Xenopus tropicalis: one gene and its partner. The protein of the gene in region 1 binds, or shares a complex with, the protein of each later gene. Links are inferred from orthologs where the notes say so. Each region holds a gene or a part of one and is shown on either strand. Other genes may lie near its edges.

Region 1 (3,817 bases):
ATTTAGAGAGCATTAGGTATAGCCTATGGTTTTGCATACAGTCTCTATTTGCCACTGTGTGGCAATTATCTAATATGGTGCATATAAAGAAAAAAGGGTCCATTAAAATGTATATAAAAGGTGGCATGGGTTTGAAATGGGTTTAAATTCAGCATCCAGTAATAATTACAAAATGACAGTAAGGTGTAGGCTACTTACTGGGTAAATAGAAGTCGATCCATCTGGCTGAATAACTTCTGCTGCCTCTACACTGCAAAGCAATAACACACGGGACATTTATAAATAAATATTGCTCACTGCCAAAGCACCAGGTTTCTACTGCAATTTACTCACGTGAATGGTTCAGCACAGTATTCACTAAACATGGTGACCATAATATCCAAGACTATTTTGGCCTGTGAAACAAAAAAACATTTTTAAGTGCAATAGCCCCTAAGAATGCACTGCCCTCGGAAACAACAGTAAACAATATACGTTGGGAAACAGTTTATTAACATAAATACAAATTAACAGCAAAACACAGATGTCTATACATCTACCTATGTTTAGGCTGCATATGTCTAGCTCGAACCAATGTAAGAAAATCAATGCCTGTACTAAGTGCTACATAAGGAAGTTATTGTCTAGACTGTCTGTGCCAAGAACCGTAACATGCTATTTTCCATTCTTTCCTATCTCCTCTCGCTTCTTTCTTTATGTTAAATAAAATTCAATAAAAACAATTTAAAAAAAAAAAAAAAAAAAAAAAGAATGCATTGCCCAAAACATATATCTGAGCTAAATCAGTTACAGCTGGGCATTACCTTTGTCAAATCAGTTGCGGTGCATTCAATGAATACGTTGCGAGTATTTAAGGTGATTCTTGAATGATCCCCTACATGAAAAGATATACACACTTTACCAATGCAGTTGAACGATGCAAATAGTAGATGCATTAATGACAGAAAGCAGCATGCTTGCATTAACAGGTGAATAGTAAAGGTCTGTATTGCTGGAAAGGAAATGCAAAAACACCTATTCTTGATTACAATACGCAGCACTTTCAACCTTAGCATTGCTAATTCTACCTTCTTACCATTGATGATCGGCGGCATGGACAGCAGCACTCCGTTGCGGTCATAGATTACTGGATAAACAGGCTTATCCTCAACAATGTGCAGATAGTGCTTCATATGGCTGTCAGTCTGGGTGAGGAACACATGATCAGTTCATTATACTGCTCCAGACAAGGGACACAAGCAATGGTAAGAGAGGGACTTTCCTTCCTATTACCTTTATGGACACTAACTGTATTATTGTTTAGATAGCAGTTCATGCAGTATTCAAGACTGTGCAAATTCCTAGGTGTACTGGTTTTTGAAGAGCTCCCTAAAGCCCTTTAATGAGGAAGGGCTGCGTAATTCACAAGAACATTTCTTCTTTGTAAAACTACAAAGGATTCACTGGTTCCAGTACCCATGCTGCAACCCAAGAAAACCTTTAATATAACAGGACTCCTTAGCAAATGCCTCAATAATGGCAAGCTAACCATATCGCTGCTGCCTGATTTGGTTTACAAAGTATTTTTTGAATAACAGATGCAATATGGTTTGCCTCTGAATACACAAAATCCCATATATTTATGGCCACTAAGGTTGCGGTTTTTATTTAAGCTTATTAAAAGAAAAAAAAAAAAAAATCTGTTGTACAATTATCTATACATTCTTAAATTAAATATAGTAAAATAGTAAATACAGATTCTTGATAAACTAAACTTCTCCATTTAGGCATGCAAGTAAATAAAATCACTACTAAGGTAATAAGAGGGCTAATTACAGCCCTGTAGAACCACTTCTGTAGCCGCTATTCAGGCTATGGCCATTTGTGCATCCCCTAAGAGAAAAAACTAAATATGGAAGATTATTAAAGTTGATTGAGCATTTTCTGTTAGGGAAGTCCTGTGGCCCACCAGCTGTTAAATTCAACTTCCTGCATCACCAGAGAGCACTACATAACATAAGGCTTGGTACTCACTCTGTACAGGTCCATTAGCTCTGGGGCTGTTAACTCCTTGCTTTGGTTCAAGGCCTTAAATTTAATACTTGCAGGTGGTTTAGCTGTGTATACAAATGGGCCAGAGATAGTGTCCAGGTCATGTGTGCCAATTGCCACCAAAGTCCTCCGCCTGTTAATTAAACCAAAATGAATGTCAGACTTGCAAGGAATAACATGCACCGCTGCCCCCAGCACGGCAACAAACTATTCATGTAGATATGTATGCACTGTATGTGTGTACAAATATGGTACACACATATACATACAAAATCACAAAGCCAGCTATAAAAAGCACAGTTATCTGTAGAAGTTATAGGTACCTGCAGATGTTCTGGTGAAGCTTCTCCTGCAGATCAATGAAACTATCATATCGTTCCTGAGTAAATGTAATGTTCCGGAGTACTGCAGCCACTGCATGGGGGCGAACTACAGCAGTCTAGAGGAGAAAACATGATGAATGCCTAAAAATCTTATTGTAAATTAAGTAACTCTTATCTAATAAATACAGAAATTGATTGTGTAATAGAGAGAATAAATGTAACCAATATAAGGTCCAATAAAGCAATGTTTCCGCTGTACAAGTTAATGGGGACAAATTAATGGGGAGTGCTCTTCTGAACTCCTTTGCAATCTGCATTTGTTTTTCTAGTTTCAAGATATAAGCAGTATTTACTGCAAAATAATGAATTTGAATCAGCAGTGCTATGAGCTGTTCAGTTTGGCCATCCATCTATCAGAAGATAAATTACTGAGCAAAGAAGAGTCTTCTGATGTTTATCTGCTTCAATCCGACCAGAGAGTCTAGTAGCTGAGATTGGGGTAGAGTTGCACCAGTCAACCATATCTAGAGCTCTGAATAACACTGGTCTGTATGGGAGTGTGGCACAAAAGAAGCCACAACTTAAAAATGTTGGAAAAAGGCTTTGTGGTCAGATGGGATTGCATGCATGGCACACATTTTGACAACTGTTGACATGCACTGTTGACAACTCATAACAAAAACATAACTAAACTTAAGTGTAGGTGTTTAACATGTATAAATAGGGATGTACCTCCTCTGTGATGAAAAGTCTCTGCAGCCCTTGATCTGATGGAGTGATCCTCTTGTACCTTGGTGCTTCTAACCTGCAAAGGAAAATATTATACAAATATATTAAACATATATATTTTTTTACTTAATGTGATATGGGAAAATGGCAGCTCTAAAGACTAGCCCCTTAAGAAAAGAAGGAATTAAAAGTCATTAACTAATCAGCAACACACACAAAAATAAAAAAAATTATTATTTTAGTGTAATTATACACACACATTTTAGGTGATTTTACTGACATTAAGTAGGGTACATTTTGCAAAAGGCTTTACATTTCTGTGAATTAAAAGTAATCCTTTACAGGCCATGTTAGTAAAGCTAAGCAATTATTTTACCATGTTTAATCACTGTTTGGTCAAAGAAGGGGAATTAAATACAAATACATATATATTATACCTGCCAATGTAATCTGTATTCATGTTTTAGCTCATATTTAAAGGAAAACTACACCCCCAAAGATACTTAAGGATTAATTATATTTTAGTTAGGATCAAGAACAGGGTACTGCTTTATTATTACAAAGAAAAACTGAATTATTTAATTAAACCGGAGTCCATGGGAGATGGCCTTCACATAATTCGTAGCTTTCTGTATAATGGGTTTCCAGACAAAGGTTCCCATACCTGTAATACTAATTTAGAGGGAATAGTTTCTGTCAGTGGACTAAATTTTAGCCAGATTTACTAACTCTTT
Region 2 (4,383 bases), on another chromosome or scaffold:
AGAAAGCTGGACTTGCTGTTTCCCCATAAAGACAGACACACAGAGCTACTTAATAGCAGCTACTTGTCACATCTACTTAACGTCAGAAAATCCCCTGCCATAGACAATACTGAGAATTGCCTCTGCAATTCAAAGATCCAAAGAAATCTAATCAGGGCGAGGGGTAAAAATAGTCAAATATCTCTGAAATATTTAGTTTACATTTGATTTATTGCTTCTTTAGTATGACTGCTCCAGTGCAGCTTATATGGTGTCACTGATTCACCCCATTGTATATGGTTTCCAACCAAAATCTATTGTATATATGCTGACTGGTACTGCACTGCCCCCTAGTGTATGAATTCAGCATTGATGCTCTTTTGTTACACAATGGGCCCAGTCAATGGGCAATAACGGGTGGCAGTCGGGTTATATTCTCACTAATTCTGCTCAAATTAGATTCTAATTAAATATGACCCCCATTTTTACCTGATCTTGCCCAATACCTACTGCCAACTGTAAAAACAGAAGTAGCACTGTCATAGCCTGGAAGGGACTAAGGGGTATGTTTACTAAGAATGGAGATAAATATCACCAGTGATGTTGCCTGTAGCAACCAATTAGGTCTTTGCTTTGATTTCTAACTTGTTGGTGACTGTTCAAATCTTATTGCTGAATGGTTGCTATGGGCAACATCACCGGAGATATTTATCTCCAATCTTAGTAAACACTCCCCACAATCCTAGGTTGGGAAGGTTAAAGGACTAAACCCAAAAAACTGTAACCCATGGGCACCTGTCCTACAGAACTCTAACACAAAGCATACACCAACACTAACCTATTGCCATGAATGCCCACCTACATTTGGACACCAGCTATGCAATGTGGTAGATACCACCTGTGTAGCCTATCATAACGCTGGGCTTAGAGGAGACGTTACTGGGGTCCTGCCTAGCAACAACTTACCCATGTAACAATAAGCAATGGCGTAGGGATTAGTGTTTCCGGACTTACACTTCATTGACAAGTTTCCTCTTCTTCAGCTCGTTCTTGTCCTTCTCATTCACATCATCGGCCTTTCCCTTGAGGATGAGCTGGAGTTTCTCCTTCACTGCGTCCTCTATGGAGTCTACCTGCAAGAACGGCAGGGGGTGAAAGTGAGGGAATGGTGAGGTGGAGAGAGATGGAAAGGTGAGGACAAATAGAACAGAGGAGAGACATAGATAGAGAGAGACACGGAAAGTAGAGGGACAAAGAGAGAGAGGAGACAGCTAACAGGGACAGACATCAGGACTCACCACTCTGTAGATGCGGGGCCCTCCTTCTGCTGCTTTATCCACACGGACCCATTTGTTGGACATGGCTTTACTGAAGCCAACTTTAGCTATGGGCTGCTTCTGCAGAGGATTCAACACAACAAAATGAGCCTTGTAATAGTCTGTGTGAGTTCTGCACTGAGAGGGAAGGAAGCAAGTGTGGCATCTCTGTACTAAGTGAGAATGCTGGGAGTTATAGTTCATGCTAGTGAGCCATGTATCACAGCCCCCCCCTACATAAATATGTATAAGCCAGGCATCCCCTCGGCCACTCACCATCAGCTCGCTCTGAAGCAAGCCTTCTTTGGGCAGGCTGTGGAAGACCCTGGCCTCGTGGCTCCCCTCGCGGGCAATCTCTTCCCCTTCTGAGCTGAGCTCCCATTTCTTGCTGGAGCGCTGTTCCGCCTCAATTATCTGCAGGTGAAGAGGGAGAAATGGCAGTATTAGAGAATAGCTAGGCAGCTCCATACTTCAGTCGGCTTTACCTTCCCCTCTATATATTTCCAGTTTTCAAATGGAAGGGGGTCACTGACCCCGACAGCCAAAAACCTATTGCTCTGTGACTCTACAATATTACTGTTATTGTTACTTATCTTTCTATTCAGGCATCTCCAATTCATTTACCAGTCTCTCGTTCCCACCACTGCTTGGTTGCTAGGGCAAACTGGACCCTAACAACCAAAAAGCTAGGTCCATAGGATCCTCAGGACCCGATACCTTGGGAATGGAAGTATGCTTAGCTGCCTGCAGTACCCAAATGGCCTTTCAGCTATCGATGGGATGCAGGGGCATTAATAGGTAGCCAAGAGACCCAGGGGACAGGCCTCTATATAACTGCTCTCCTACAGTCTCCTGTTGTCACTTACCTGAGCGTAGGGACCAACTCACAATATACAATATAAAAGTCCGGCTAATTAGTAATTCATTCAGATTAATAATAATCAGCCCTATAGCATCAGCCTCTGTGACATATGAACCTCATATTTTGCTTGATTACTTCCAGTGGCTTCTGAGTCGGCCAGAGGCCACTGAGCATGTGCCGTGCCACCGACACACAAAAGATGGCCTAACAAGATCTGCTGTGGGCAACTTGATAGGGCTGGATTGTTACTGTTTTAGGGCTGCTGAGTCTCTGGAGTGGGAAGGTAAGTCCAGTATATAATACAGCATTCTACCCTGGTAAACATTAGTTCTATTTTAAGTGCTAGGGAAAGTTTCCTTAAACTCCTGGGGGTGGCAAAATAGGGCCCGACACACACCCTATGAGAATCAAGGCCTGGGAAATAAATCCCCCCAAGTGATCCTATTCACCCACCCAGATACCTATAATAAGCCCCTGGAGCAGTCACACATAAAGGTCAGTAAGCACAAGGGTGGCTTATACATGGCTGACAGTTATCACTACTAGATGCCAACTTTGCCTGCAGGTTACAGGGAACTGACTGTCAGCACATAAGCAGCCAATGGGCACAGCTGAAGGAGCTGACTGCCAGCCAATGGGCACAGCTGATCCCCTGTAATGTCCCTATGGCGGGGGTGAGTGTTATTGCATCAGAAGCTGCCCCTCACCTGCCCCAGGCACTGCAGGCTCTTCACTGCCCCCACCACCTGCTGATGCTCCACGCCGAGCAGGGCCGCCAGCTCCAAGCTATCCACGCCTTTACTGCCTCCATCTTGTAATCTCTGTAACAGCTGCTCCGATACTGAGTTGTCTGCCATGCTGCCGGCCTGCTCACTGCGCCTGCGCACGAATCACCCGGAAATGTCATATTAGCTGCAGGCAGGAAGTCAGACTTCGGCCGGCTTCACTGAGATGCGAGTCTTATGCCGGAAGTACGCCATCTTGCTACTCCCATCGTAGCCCTCTCTGTCACCCCCATACATGCGATAGAGGCCATCATACTACTCTCACCTCCATCGAATTAACTATAGTTATATTCTTGCACCCTGTTCTCTGGCCGCCCCACGTAAGATAACGGGGTTATACCTTCTCTAAATAAACATTTGTTATGGTGCCCACAGGAAAAGGTCCTTTGTCTGGCGACCTATTTTCCAGAGTGCTTCAAAATCACTTAGGGGGAGCCTCCCAAAATTTGAAAAGTAGAAGGAGGGACCATTTTATAAAACCACACCTGAAAAGCATAACATACACAAAGTGCATCAGAAGACAGACACTGTGGCCCCAATCATTTTATGACATATTGTTGCACTAAGGATTTCATTACGCACTGTGGCACCTGTATATCATGACTCATGACAGACATTGGTAGCCAGGTGTTATGTTTTGAATTGGTGCCAGAGCAGGGACCCCCTAAAACATTGCTGGTCCTCCCCCAGTGTCCCCCTACTTTGGGCCGCTCCAAACTACAGCATCCACCAGCTCCCCCCAGCATCCACCCAACATCCTCCAGCTCCCCCCAGCATCCACCCAACATCCTCCAGCTCCCCCCAGCATCCACCCAACATCCTCCAGCTCCCCCCAGCATCCACCCAACATCCTCCAGCTCCCCCCAGCATCCACCCAACATCCTCCAGCTCCCCCCAGCATCCACCCAACATCCTCCAGCTCCCCCCAGCATCCACCCAACATCCTCCAGCTCCCCCCAGCATCCTCCCAACATCCTCCAGCATCCACCCAACATCCTCCAGCTCCCCCAGCATCCACCCAACATCCTCCAGCTCCCCCCAGCATCCACCCAACATCCTCCAGCTCCCCCCAGCATCCACCCAACATCCTCCAGCTCCCCCCAGAATCCACCCAACATCCTCCAGCTCCCCCCAGCATCCACCCAACATCCTCCAGCTCCCCCCAGCATCCACCCAACATCCTCCAGCTCCCCCCAGCATCCACCCAATATCCTCCAGCATCCACCCAACATCCTCCAGCTCCCCCCAGCATCCACCCAACATCCTCCAGCATCCACCCAACATCCTCCAGCTCCCCCAGCATCCACCAGCTCCCCCCTGCATCCACCCAACATCTTCCAGCTTCCTCCCAGCATCCTCCAGTTCCATCCCAGCATCCTCCAGCTCCCTCCCAGTGTCCTCCCCAACATCCTTCAGCTCCGCCCTAGTATCCTCCAGCTTC

Evidence for each region.
Region 2: the proteins of farsb (region 1) and farsa are in contact, whole or in part, in a crystal structure (PDB 3L4G), measured with the Homo sapiens proteins. The link is inferred for Xenopus tropicalis from reciprocal best matches to the Homo sapiens genes FARSB and FARSA. Residues at the interface, in NP_005678.3 of Homo sapiens: Glu26, Phe29, Gly32, Leu33, Pro68, Ala69, Asn70, Ile150, Arg152, Asp259, Thr261, Lys262, Arg305, Lys316, Lys317, Val318, Gly319, Ile359, His360, Cys362, Asp363, Glu366, Ala369, Ile370, Tyr374, Asn375, Ile377, Gln378, Met379, Thr380; in NP_004452.1 of Homo sapiens: Ser221, Gly222, His223, Leu224, His225, Leu227, Leu228, Arg231, Ser232, Arg235, Leu239, Gly242, Phe243, Thr244, Glu245, Pro247, Asp249, Asn250, Phe251, Ile252, Glu253, Ser254, Phe263, Gln266, Gln267, Phe277, Phe278, Leu279, Arg280, Asp281.

The regions. Positions count from the first base shown.
Region 1 is NC_030681.2:125,109,246-125,113,062, forward strand, and holds part of farsb (phenylalanine--tRNA ligase beta subunit), read right to left. Parts: intron 3,160-3,817; coding exon 3,087-3,159; intron 2,471-3,086; coding exon 2,355-2,470; intron 2,165-2,354; coding exon 2,014-2,164; intron 1,185-2,013; coding exon 1,076-1,184; intron 875-1,075; coding exon 804-874; intron 396-803; coding exon 334-395; intron 251-333; coding exon 199-250; intron 1-198.
Region 2 is NC_030679.2:139,734,116-139,738,498, reverse strand, and holds the start of farsa (phenylalanine--tRNA ligase alpha subunit), read right to left. Parts: upstream 3,055-4,383; 5' UTR 3,015-3,054; coding exon 2,865-3,014; intron 1,710-2,864; coding exon 1,278-1,709; intron 1,113-1,277; coding exon 994-1,112; intron 1-993.